2 linked regions of the Macaca fascicularis genome follow. The protein of the gene in region 2 purifies or fractionates together with the protein of the main gene of each other region. This does not show direct contact. Links are inferred from orthologs where the notes say so. Each region holds a gene or a part of one and is shown on either strand. Other genes may lie near its edges.

Region 1 (5,946 bases), on a different chromosome or scaffold from region 2:
GGAAGGTACCTTTTGAGTTGAATGTTACATTTGCTGCAAGTAAATAGCAATTATTTTCAAAAAGACTTTACTTTTCCTGAAATTTCAGAAACAAATTTATGGCAAGGAACTGATAAGGAGAGTTTTTGCCTATCCTGCCTGAATCTATTTTCAGTTTTTCAAACTCTCCTCAGCTTCCTTCCCCCTGAAACTGTTATTATGTAGCTTAACTCTTTTCCAAGGGTGTAAACCTTGTGTCCTCATCTAGCTCTGAAACTCCTTGAAGAACATGGTGTTGTATTACATTATACATGTATACATTACAGCCATGTTTTTAAACTTGAGGTATAACATCAAAAAGGCAAAGAAGTTTAAGAATCTTGACTTCACTGTGTCCCCACAACACCTGCTGCTTGCTTACATTCAGTGAGCATACAAATAATTTTTGCTGGAAAGCCGATCAGCTCCTGCAATTGCTTTACCCTTAGTTCGCAGACTAATCAAAGAGAGTACACTTTGATAGTACACTAATCAGAGCTGTACACTAAAAAATAGTTCTGAAAAAAAGACGTCATAATAAATTCTCTCCAACTCTGTGTTTATTATGAAATATTGGCTAAGCGTCCTGAAATTTAATATTCCCCCAAGTGCTATTTAAGACCCTGTCAATTACTTAGTTTCAAAACTAAATATTTTTCAGCATGAACCTTCCACTCCAGCCAGGCTGGTCTCAGTGTTTCCACAATATGTTCTTTCCTAACTACAAGTAGTTCTCATACAAAGCCCATGGAACTTAGAGCATTCTCCTTATTTATGAGAAAAGGTCTTATTATAAGTTGCCCAAGCTGGTCTACAACTCCTGGACTCAAGCTGTCTTCCCACCTCAGCCTCCTGAGTAGCCTAGGACTACAGGCAAGCACCACGACACCCAGTTTCTCTTAACTTTTTGAGTTTAACAAATATCATGTTCCTGTTATAGGCCTGTTTCCGATGGTACTTACACATTGGTTTTAAATTTATGCAGCTGGGGCACTGGATTTTTGGCTCGCATTTCTAGCACTTCCATGTAATGAGGCTTCTTCTGAGTCCCACTAGAAAGGTCTGTCAAGTTCTTAGTACTTGCGTTTTCTTCTGACTGTTGTTCACCTTGGTCTGCAATAGTGATCCTCTGTAACCTGTCAATAAACAGGTTGTCAAAGCTGCTGGAAGTATCTTCTGCTTGACTTGAAACACGACGCTGCGGGTGATGCTCACTAGCTTCAGATGAAGACGGTACCCTGTCTCTGTTGCTGGAAGCTGGGCCCTTAATCACTGTGTACTCAACCTCTGGAGTCTCTCCATCACCTTCATGAGTAGGATGTCCAAGTCCCTGGTTTTGTGAGGTTGTTTTAGATGACTTGATATTATCTACAGAGGAACACCCAGGAACTAGTGATGAAGTATCAAGTATCGGGTCAGAATTCTGGGCCTTATCTGTACCCACATCAACTTCTGCAATTGCTTTTTGCCTTAGCTTACAGTCTAAACTAACAGGGTGAAACAGTTCACTTTTTCTTCTAACTTCTTCATGTTCTGCAACAGCAGCTTTCAGTTTGGCAACAGAGTCAAAGATCTTTTTACCTTTGTCGGGCAATTTGCAAATGAATTTTCTGTCAAATGGAAAAGAATACATACACATTACAGCCATGTTTTTAACTTGACATATAACATTAAAAAGGCAAAGCATTATCTTCAAAGAAAGAAAAGCTGATTTTTAAGTCAAATATCTGATTTCTAACTGCCCCAAAACAGGAATAAAACAAATAAAACGGTCATTATCCAAACAGCACAAAAAAACAAGGGAATGCTGGAATAGGGAATATATGCCTCATTTGTCTCAGCAAATTAGAATTTCGGCAAAAGTATTTTAAGCATGTAATAATCACATAAGACATTCTAAGAACCAGCAGTCATTAAAGTGCAATCCCCACAATTTGGGGATGGGGTGGAGTGTGGGGATGGGCCTATTATTTTAAAACTACTTTCATAATAATACTAAGATGTTATTTCCCTCTCATTTTCTCACATGGGTACGGCGGAGTTTTCCAGTGGCTACATGACATATGATGACATCATTGTTCTAGAATAGAATGTGTGCTTGTGTATGCTTATGTTTTAAAGACTTCAGCTGTATTTCTGATAAGTAAATAAACTTCACTAGACAGAACACATAAAATAGTTCTTTGGGATGTCAAAAAATCTTAAAGTATAAAGGAGTCCTGAGACCAAAAAGTTAATTCACTACTACAGATTAAAAACCTATTCTCACAAGGTAAAAACACCTGCCTTGATCCCAATCAATTATTTATTTGTCCCTTTTGCTAGATGACAGAGTTCCTTTTTTGATTCTCTTTTCTTTAATTATACAATAAATGGAGAGAAAAATCTTAGGTCCTTTGTTCTTTTTGACACTACATTCATTCCCACTATTTCAACTATTAACAACACTCTACAGCTGAAATTCCTATGTTTTCTATATTTTTCCAGAGTTCTCTCTTTCTTGAGCCTAATGACAACTTCTCCAGCTTTTAAGTGTTTGGTTTTCAATTAGTCAAATGTCTGTCCCGCTCTCCCCTCAACTCTGAACACCCTACGTAAAATCAACCACGGATCTATTCCTCTCCCTGAATATTCCTATTTTTGCTAGTGGTCTTCCATACAAATTGGAAAACTCAGCCATCTCTGTCAACTACATTTAAATGACTCTATGCCTAAAAGTTCTCCCAATCCCTTCCTAGTTCACTTTCTTACAACTGTCTCGTGGGGAGCCTCTCTGAAAATAGCCATCTACTGTCTCCCGCTTTTTATTCCTTCAAACCATCTTTTGCAACAAGCTGCTAAACAAAGCTGCCTGAAAAACAAAATCACTTTTATCACGTGGCTCCCTTGCTAAAATCCGTTAAATCAACCAGCTGACTGGGGGTTGAACTTTCCCGGCCTAATAAACGCCTCTTCATATCCCACTCTTCCCATTTCCTACGGTTCCTGTAAGCGTAGAATCCAGAGACGAAGCTGACAATTTGTTATGGGTTAGGGGTGCGGGCGACAAAAGGGTTTAGAATGAAGACTCTTGCTTCATGGAACTAACACAGTCCCCGGGCAAATAAAACCAACGAGGGGCTACTAACTGCCTGCAACAATAAGTAGCCGTTCAGTCCGAGCCATCCTCGCAGGCCTACGTGCCTGGCCAGGAAGAGGCACGGCTCTGCGACAGCAAGCCCTCCGTCCACTCGCCCGTAGGACTGAGGCGAATGTGACTGAGGCAAGGTCACCTTCCAGGGAAGGAAACAGAGTGGGGGAGGGGAGGGGAGCGCCCAGGGAGCTCGAGCTGAAGGAGCCTGGCGGAGACTCCGCGGGACCCCAGCTTACTCGTTGCGCAAAAGTCTCTCCTGGCGCTTCAACATTTCCCGCAGCTCCACCAAACTCCGCTGCCCCAAGTCCTCGAGAGCTTGGGGCTCGAAGCCGCGGGGCAGCGAGGACATTCTGCACAGGCTGAGGCTGGCGCGGCGGCGGGCACTCGGCTTCCTCGGCAGGCCCCGCTGCTAGCGCCGGATCCGCGGACTGCAGTGACTCCGGGGCTCGAGCGGGAGTCGCCATTTTCCCGGAAGAACGGGGTCTTCCTCGAGCCGAATCGAGCTTTATTGAAATGCCGGAAACAAACACGGACCGGGAGAAGGGGGCGTCCGGAGGAGCGCTAAAGGACGGAAATTACGTCGGAGGACGCCGGCGCCTGGGTTTGGCGCCCTTTCCCCTCGTGTGAGCGTTCATCCGGTTGTCAGCTGTTCATAGGTTTATACAAAAAGTATTTGGCGCCAGCGTGACCTCACCAAGCACTATGTGTTAGTCAACAAAGAGCCACGTCCTCTGTTATAGTTGGGGTTTACAGAGTTGGCGCGGGGGACGGAGGGACGGAGAATCAAATAATAATATAATAGTGACGTTGGGGTGGGCACCTGGGAAGGTATCTCTGAGAAGTGAAATACAAGTCGAAACCTGAAAGATGAGTTGGCCGTTAATAAGGTAGAGGAGAGTGCGGGACAGGATTTGGGAGACTCCGGCCTGTGTGTGGTGCCTCCTAGCTCAGCTTAGGGACGTCCTGAAATGTTAAAGTTGGAAGGTTCCTTAGAATCAGCAATTCTTTTCGGGGCTCATTGCATTTGGAGCAGGACTTCATTTGTGGCACTGCCTCAGGCATTGTTAAGACATTTGGTGTTTCTGGCTTCTGCCTGCTAGGTGCCATGGCACTCCCAAGTAATTGCAAAAATCCAAAATGTCTCCCCCAACATACATTTCCAAAGGCCCACAAGAGGTGATGAGGGAGTGGGAGCAGCTGTACAAACTGGTTGAGGACCTTTTATAATTTTCTACTTTGCCTGTAGAAAAAGAGTCATGAAAACTGAAATAAATATTCCCAGGGCACAAAACCAGTAAGTGACAGCACCAGATTTCAAACCCAAAAGCCCAGCGGCTTTTCCAACACACCAATTTGAAAATTCCCTTCTTCACTTTAGGCCTATCTCCAAATGTGCAAAATTGTTGAAAAGACTTTTTTTTTTCTTTCCCCCAGCTGTTGAGAAGAAGACAGTTTAGTAAGTATTGGACACAGCTTTTAGTTTCTTGTTATAGTTCACCTACCAGAGATGCATCCCAATGGAAACAGTAGGAAGACATGCAGTCACAGCAGATATCACTTGGGAGGTTTGAACACCCCCATAACCTCCAAAACTACTGCCCTCCCCCGATTTTTTTATATAGGAAATTGAAGTTGTCTCAATCCTATGTAAGATGCTATATTAACACAAGCAGCTCCATCCCAAAGAGACAGAAGATCTAGGTAAACTCCAAAGCTATTCCAGGGAGCACAATTGCAACCATTTTTTTATCCCCCCAATCTAGTCCATTCAGATCAGATTCATTAGTATATCAAAATAAGTTTTCTCTGTATAAGACTTGCTTTCAAGGATGTTAATAACCTGCTCCAGCATTGGCTGAATGAGAAATAGGTAAGCTCCTCGAGTCAGTTGGTTGTCTGTGGTGTCAACAAAAAAAAAAAAAAAAAAAAAAAAAAAAACTCCATAAAATATTGAAGAGATGTATTCTGTGCTAGATATGAGTGACCATGGCCCATCACACAGCCCTCAGGAGATGCTGAGAACACATGCCCAAGGCAGTCGGTGCACAGCTTGGTTTTATACATTTTAGGGAGACATGAGACATCAATCAAATACATTTAAGATAAACATTGGCTTAATCCAGAAGGGTGAGACAACTCAAAGCAGAGCAGGTGTGGGGCAAGATGGGCTTCCAAGTTATAGGTAGATTTAAATTTTTTTCTGATTGGCAGTTGATTTAAAGGAACATCTAGGTTACCATAAGAAGTGGTGGAGACCGAAGTTTTATCATATAGATGAAGCCTCCAGTTAGCAGGCTTCAGAGAAAGTAAGTTGTAAGTGTTTCTTATCAGACTTAAGGTAGATGTTGATATTAAATGCTGTGCAGCTTTTCCTGGATTCTAAAAGAAAGAAGGGCATAATGAGGCATGTCTGACCTCCCCTTCCCATCATGGCCTAAGCCAGTCTTTTAGGTTAAATTTGGAGGACCCTGGACTAGAGGAGGAAGTTCATTCAGACGGTTGAGGGGGGCCTTCAAATTTTATTTTTGGTTTACAGTGGTGAGAGCCCCACAAGCCTCCTTTGCCCCACCCTGGACCCCAGCTGGAGGCCTTTATTTCCCCCACAGTAGTGAACTCCCCAGGCGCTGATTGTGGGCCACAGGTGTCCCCAAAGCAAGGATGCCTTTCTTTCAGGCCTCAGAATTTTGCCCCCTTCTGTTACCCTTTTTTGGAAGGCTGTCTCTCCTCCCCTTGCCAATTATAAGTCTTGGCTCAAGTCTCACCTCCTCCCTGAACTTTCCTAGGTTATTCCAAAC
Region 2 (6,040 bases):
CAGTTTTAAGGACTTTATTGGTAACAGCAACAACAATAAGTTTCTGTAATGCTAATCTCTGAGCAAGGGAATAAAACAGAAAGGAGTAATTGTTGATAAAATAAGCCAGTTGATTACATGTTTTAATTCTGCAAAGAAACTAAGTTTGGTATCAATCTAGGTGAAGTAAAATTTGATATAAATCTAGTTGGAACAGTTGAAATACAAAACAATCTTTCTTTTCTTGTTATAGTAAAATGATAAGAGAACACTGGCCAATACTTATTGTAAGCCACAAGTAAAGACTTTTTGCGGACAGTGATGGAAAAGAGCAAATTTGACTTGTAAATATCTAAGTATGGCATCACGTTTAATAAAAATTTATTACTCATGCACAAAGTATATGATTCCTTTTCTGAGACTGGAGTAGTTATAAGTGTAAAAAAAATAGTGGGGAAAAGGCTGCTCAGAAAAGCACCTTGAGTAATCAGAAATGTATCTGTTCAAGACTCAATTTTTAAACTCTTGTACTCTAAAAGTACTCCGTAAGTACTTTTAAAGATGGAGAATATCAATTCCTTACCATCTCCAAATTAAATACACCTATCCTCCCCACCAATTTCTCTCACCTAGTCTTGACCTCTCAAACCTCCTATTTCTAATAAGCATTTCCTTTGGGTTTCTCTGCCATTGTTTCAATGACAGAACTCAAAGGCAACTGTTTCCTCTGTTTAATATTTAATTTGTATTGAAAGTCTCCTAGTCAACCAGTCTAACTTCAGATTCTTGCTTTCCTTTGATCTTCAAATTATGCTAATACTACAAATCTTCCTCTTTTCCTTCTATCATTATTGTTGCTTAGTTCAACCAATTATCTCACACCAGAATTATTACAATAGCCTTCTTGTTGTTTGCCAGTTCACCAGGTTATTTATTTTACCCTGATAAAAACATTTGAGCTTACTCCACCACTGTCTTCAAGGTAAACCTCCAACTCAGGCTGTTTTGAAGCTTTCAACAATCTAAGTCAACTCTACTGACTTGTTTTCCACTACTCCTTCATATTTACCTAACTAGTCATAAAGTCACTTATGACTAAATGGCTTTGCCCAGGTTTTAATAATAGTAATGGAGCAATAAGTGCTCAGACGCTATACAAACGTAGATCCCAGCTCTATTAACCCAGGTAGCATTTTTCATTTTTAAATTGGATACATTCTCCTATTACAGCATTGTTGTGAGGAAGAGGAAATACACAAAATATTCAACACAGTGTCTATCTGTTCCATCCTTCAAAAACTTTTAGGCCGGGCGCGGTGGCTCAAGCCTGTAATCCCAGCACTTTGGGAGGCCCAGATGGGCGGATCACGAGGTCAGGAGATCAAGACCATCCTGGCTAACACGGTGAAATCCCGTCTCTACTAAAAAATACAAAAAACTAGCCAGGCGAGGTGGCGGGCGTCTGTAGTCCCAGCTACTGGGGAGGCTGAGGCAGGAGAATGGCTGAGGCAGGCGAATGCTCGGGAGGCGGAGCTTGCAGTGAGCTGAGATCCGGCCACTGCACTCCAGCCTGGGCGACACAGAGAGACTACGTCTCAAAAAAAAAAAAAAAACTTTTAAGATCCATTCAGTCAACAAAACTTTATGGAAAATAACTATGACAAGTACTACATTTAAACACTATAGAGACATAGTGAATGCGACATAGCTTCTGCACTCATGGTTTTCAGAGGGTAGAACAAATGTTAAAAGTTATACAAATCTGATTAGGATAAATGCTAAGAAGATTCCCTCTATTTTGGTTCACATCACTCCATATTCCAATTTACTTCAGAACCTAAAGCTGAAAATACTCAATTCATTATAACTCCCTAACCACATACTGTTTTTCCATCACTTAAATGTCTCCTGAGTATATGACATTTTTTTAACCTCCTTAAGGAGTATCTCTTTGCAAACATGATAGTGCTTATACACAGTAGGCACTCATACTAGTTATCCTAAAGGCTTTTCTCCAAAATCCAATTATCAGTACGCCTAACCTGGAGTTAAGGCCATATTCACTCTGTCCTTACTATCCTTCTAGTTACAAGACATGTATGAATATGCAAAAGTTTCCCTAAAATAAGATTTCTATCCAGCAGCATCATTACAATTTGATTTTGTAAAATCTCAAAGGAGTAGTTCCCTGAGGAAGGCTGACTGGCAGCTCAGGCAAGTCCCTGCAGGGCAGAATTTATCTTGGTGAATTCAACATTTAGAAGCTGGTCCTCTCAGCCTTAAAAACTAGTGTTATTCACCCAGGGTAGATCAGTTTATCACAAGTAGATTCACACTCTTCAAGTGTACAAAGCCTGATGTATTAAGAAAAATGCCAAGTTATTAGCTTACAGTGAGGAAAAAAAACTGGCAAAGAAACCAGGTACTTAGGTTTTCCTCTCAGCATGTTTTCTCTCTAGTCCCTTATCTAGGACGTTAAATCACAATCAGACAATGAGAAACATAACTATCAATGGAAAACTATTTAACAGAAAACTATGTAACTGGTAATGGTAATAAGTATACCCATTGCAGCAAGAGAATACCCACTGACGTCTTGGTCAACGGGATGCATATATTATGTCGGTCCCCTATGGTTATAACAACGCTGAAAAATTCTTACTGCCTAGTGACATCATAGCGGTCTGTGCTTGTGGTGACGCTGCTGTAAAGCAACCTACGGCACTGCCAGTGTATGAAAGTCTAGCACATACAATTAAGTACAGTCCATGATACTTGATAATGATACTAAATGACTTTGTTACTGGTTTATGTATTTACTGTTTCATCGTTATAATACATTGTACTTCTACTTATTAAAAAAAAAAGTTATCGCCGAAACCATGCATTTCTCAGAACATAACCCCTTCATTAAGGGCCCATGACTGTATGCGCATCCTCTGGCTTTGCTTCTGCTTTCCACTCAGGCATAGCTTGGAGGAAAAATTACCAGAAGGAACAAAGCTGGGGAGCTACCTACAAGACTTGGCCTTTAATAGAGCGTAGAATTTGGGGGAGACGTTCAAAAAGACTTGTAAGCCGGGCACGGTGGCTCACACCTGTAATCCCAGCACTCTGGCAGGCCGAGGCGGGAGAATCGCTTGAGGCCGGGAGTTCGAGACCAGCCTGGGCAACATGGTGAAACCCCGTCTCTACTAAAAATAGAAAAATCAGCCGGGCGTGGTGGAGGGCGCCTGTAATCCCAGCTACTTGTTTGGCGGAGGCGGAGGGTGCAGTGAGCCGAGATGGCACCACTGTACTCCAGCCTGGGCGACAGACACAGTCTCCAAAGTAAAAAAAAAAAAAAAAAAAAGAAAAGAAAAGAAAAAAGAAAGACTCAAATAAACGGAAAGACATACGAGAATCAGAAGATTTCCTATCATAAAGATGTCCCCAAACTGATGCATTCTGAGGGGTGGCCAAGAGACAAGAGATGGAAGGAGGCTCTGGGCCCACAGGAAGGAGCGAAGATGAAAAATCTCTCGCCTCAGCGTCGCTCCGCACCAACCTGAAAGCGCTGGTGAAGGAATACTCTCGGCTGGCATTTCATTACAAAAACCCAGTCATCCACAGCACGAGATCTCCCTTGGTGGATTCAAATTGATGAGGAAAGAAAAGAGCTCCTGCTTCTCCTCCCAACCCCCAAAAGAGAGATGTAAGCACCGCTGCCAAGAAAATAAAACTGTCCTCAGGGAATACGACAGGACCGCGCAGCCGACAAGTCTTGGCGGCCCCACCCGGACAAGAGCAATCTTCCCGGTCTCCTCAAGCGAAAGAGGCTGCTCCCTCCCGCACCTTCAAGCACCGCCCGGCAGCCGGCCTCACACCTCCGAGTTCGCGGTGGCGCCTCCCGAGAGAGCGCTTTATGCCGAAGCCCTGTTTCTCAGTCCGCTTTCCACTTCCAAGTTTTGCCTCTTGGGCCCCTTTTCTCCCTTGCTTTACCTCAGGAAAGAGAAAGACAGAGGCTAATCGAATGAAATTCCTCACCGAATTCACAGCGTCTTGAAGCTGCGTGAGCCGATCCGCCATGTTCTTCCCGCAGCAAACCGACGCCAAAACAGCTGCTCTTCCGCGACTGGGCAGCTCTGGTACGCGTCATGGCCAATCCCAGCGCTGCCTTCTTGGAAGGGGTGGGGTCGGAGAGAACTCCCCGCCCGTCAGGAGTGGGTGGTACTGCCGAGGCGGCCTTAGAGCGGGCTACACCAGAGGAGAGGCTGGATCTTTTGAGTAACTGGGGAGCGGCCTGGGGTCCATCGCTTTGAGGGGCTGAAATACTCTCTTTGAGGTTGTTAGGTGTTAAAGGCTTCAGAGATCGTTGGATTCAGCGGGGATTTTTTTTTTTTTTTAGTGATTTCTCCTATCCTCTCATGTGTTTACTTATTGACTACATTGAAGAGTAGATATATTTATTTATTTTTATTTATTTATTTATTTATTTATTTTGAGACGGAGTCTGGCTCTGTCGCCTAGGCTGGAGTGCAGTGGCGCGATCTTGGCTCACTGCCAGCTCCGTCTCCCGGGTTCACGCCATTGTCCTGCCTCAGCCTCCCGAGTAGCTGGGACTTTAGGCGCCGCCACCACGCCCGGCTAAATTTTTTTTTTTTTTTTTTTTTTTTTTTGTAGTAGAGACAGGGTTTCACCGTGTTAGCCAGGATGGTCTCCGTCTCCTGACCTCGTGATCCGCCCTCCTTGGCCTCGCAAAGTGCTGTGATTACAGGCATGAGCCACCGCGCCCAGCCAAGAAAAATCAGCTGCACAATTTAGATTTAGAGTTGGGACTTATTGAGAGCTTAAGTGTGAAGAGTGATAATAGAAACTTGGTATTTAAGGAAATTTAGCCTGAGGATAGTCTGGTAAGAAATGAGTTTGGAGTCGGCAAATAACAGGTTTGGAGACATCAAACAAACTCTCATATCCTCTTTCTCAGGCTGATTATCCGTGATTACCTTCCTGCGGCTGCGGGGTAGGTGGTGGACACAGTCCCCGGGGAACTCAGCTTGCTGGATTTATCCCAACCCTTGCTGGGAAGCACCACTTCTGCTTCACACCCATGCCCCACCCTCATCCCCAAACAGTCTACAGACTTACTGGGGCCTCATTAAGAACGTGGATGAGGCATGCTCCCCATAATGGAACTAATGAGAAATCACTCCATAATTTGTTCTAACTGTAACTTGGGGGAATCTACAACCTTTTCCTCCCACCTTCACTTGAGCGTGTACCTTACTGAATGCCTGCCACATGCCAGGAAGTATATCCAGTGCTCAGTGTGCAAAGATGAATAAGCCAAGGACTCACCAAGAGGAAGGTTTTGCAGTTGTCCAAGATTAAGGTGAGCTGGGCCTAGAATAGGGTGTTGACCCTGATAAGAGAGGAAAAAAAGACTAAAATATATTTTTGAGAAAAATAATTAATACGGATTGGTGACTGATTGAATACAGTTTAGTCCACTCCGTAAGGATACTAAGTTTTGCAGCGTGATTGAAGGGAACTTGGGCACTTGAAGTAGAGAAGTCACTTCAAGACAACTCATATTGTGACACAGTTTTTGTCCTGCCACTATCTTCCTAGTAGGTCTTCCGTGTCTCCACAGAGACCTCAGGTTGATGTCCAACTATCTCTGCCTAGTTGTCAAGATTTACTATAATCTGGCTCCAGCAAACAGACCCAGCCTCACCTCTTGATAATTTTCTGAGTGAAATAATCCTCTGTTTCAGCCAAGGGCCCTGACCCCTTGGTTTTCCTGGTTCTTCAGCCTCTTTTGGCCACGGATCTTTTTAAGAATCAGATAAAAGCTGTGGACCCTTTCCCCAGACCAGACTCTCAACTTAGCCTACATTTGAAAAGGGGTTTATGAAGCTCTTGAAGCCATAGACTTCAGGAATAACCCACCTGCCAAATATAGTCTGTGCATCTAGCTCAGGATTTCTCAATGGCCGCACTCTTGACTCTTTAGGCTAGATTATTCTTTGTTGTGGGATGCTGACCTGTGCATTGTAGGATGTTTAGCAGCATCCCTGTC

The links. Proteins that work in one complex are often made in the same cells at the same time.
Region 1: the proteins of MED21 (region 2) and POLR2M purify together in Homo sapiens (affinity purification with mass spectrometry; 3 studies listed by BioGRID and IntAct, with this or other methods). This does not show direct contact. The link is inferred for Macaca fascicularis from reciprocal best matches to the Homo sapiens genes MED21 and POLR2M.

Annotation. Positions count from the first base shown.
Region 1 is NC_088381.1:34,164,869-34,170,814, reverse strand, and holds the start of POLR2M (protein GRINL1A), read right to left. Parts: upstream 3,630-5,946; 5' UTR 3,501-3,629; coding exon 3,388-3,500; intron 1,629-3,387; coding exon 981-1,628; intron 1-980.
Region 2 is NC_088385.1:29,775,080-29,781,119, reverse strand, and holds the start of MED21 (mediator of RNA polymerase II transcription subunit 21), read right to left. Parts: upstream 4,078-6,040; 5' UTR 4,048-4,077; coding exon 4,006-4,047; intron 1-4,005. UniProt on the Homo sapiens protein: Component of the Mediator complex, a coactivator involved in the regulated transcription of nearly all RNA polymerase II-dependent genes.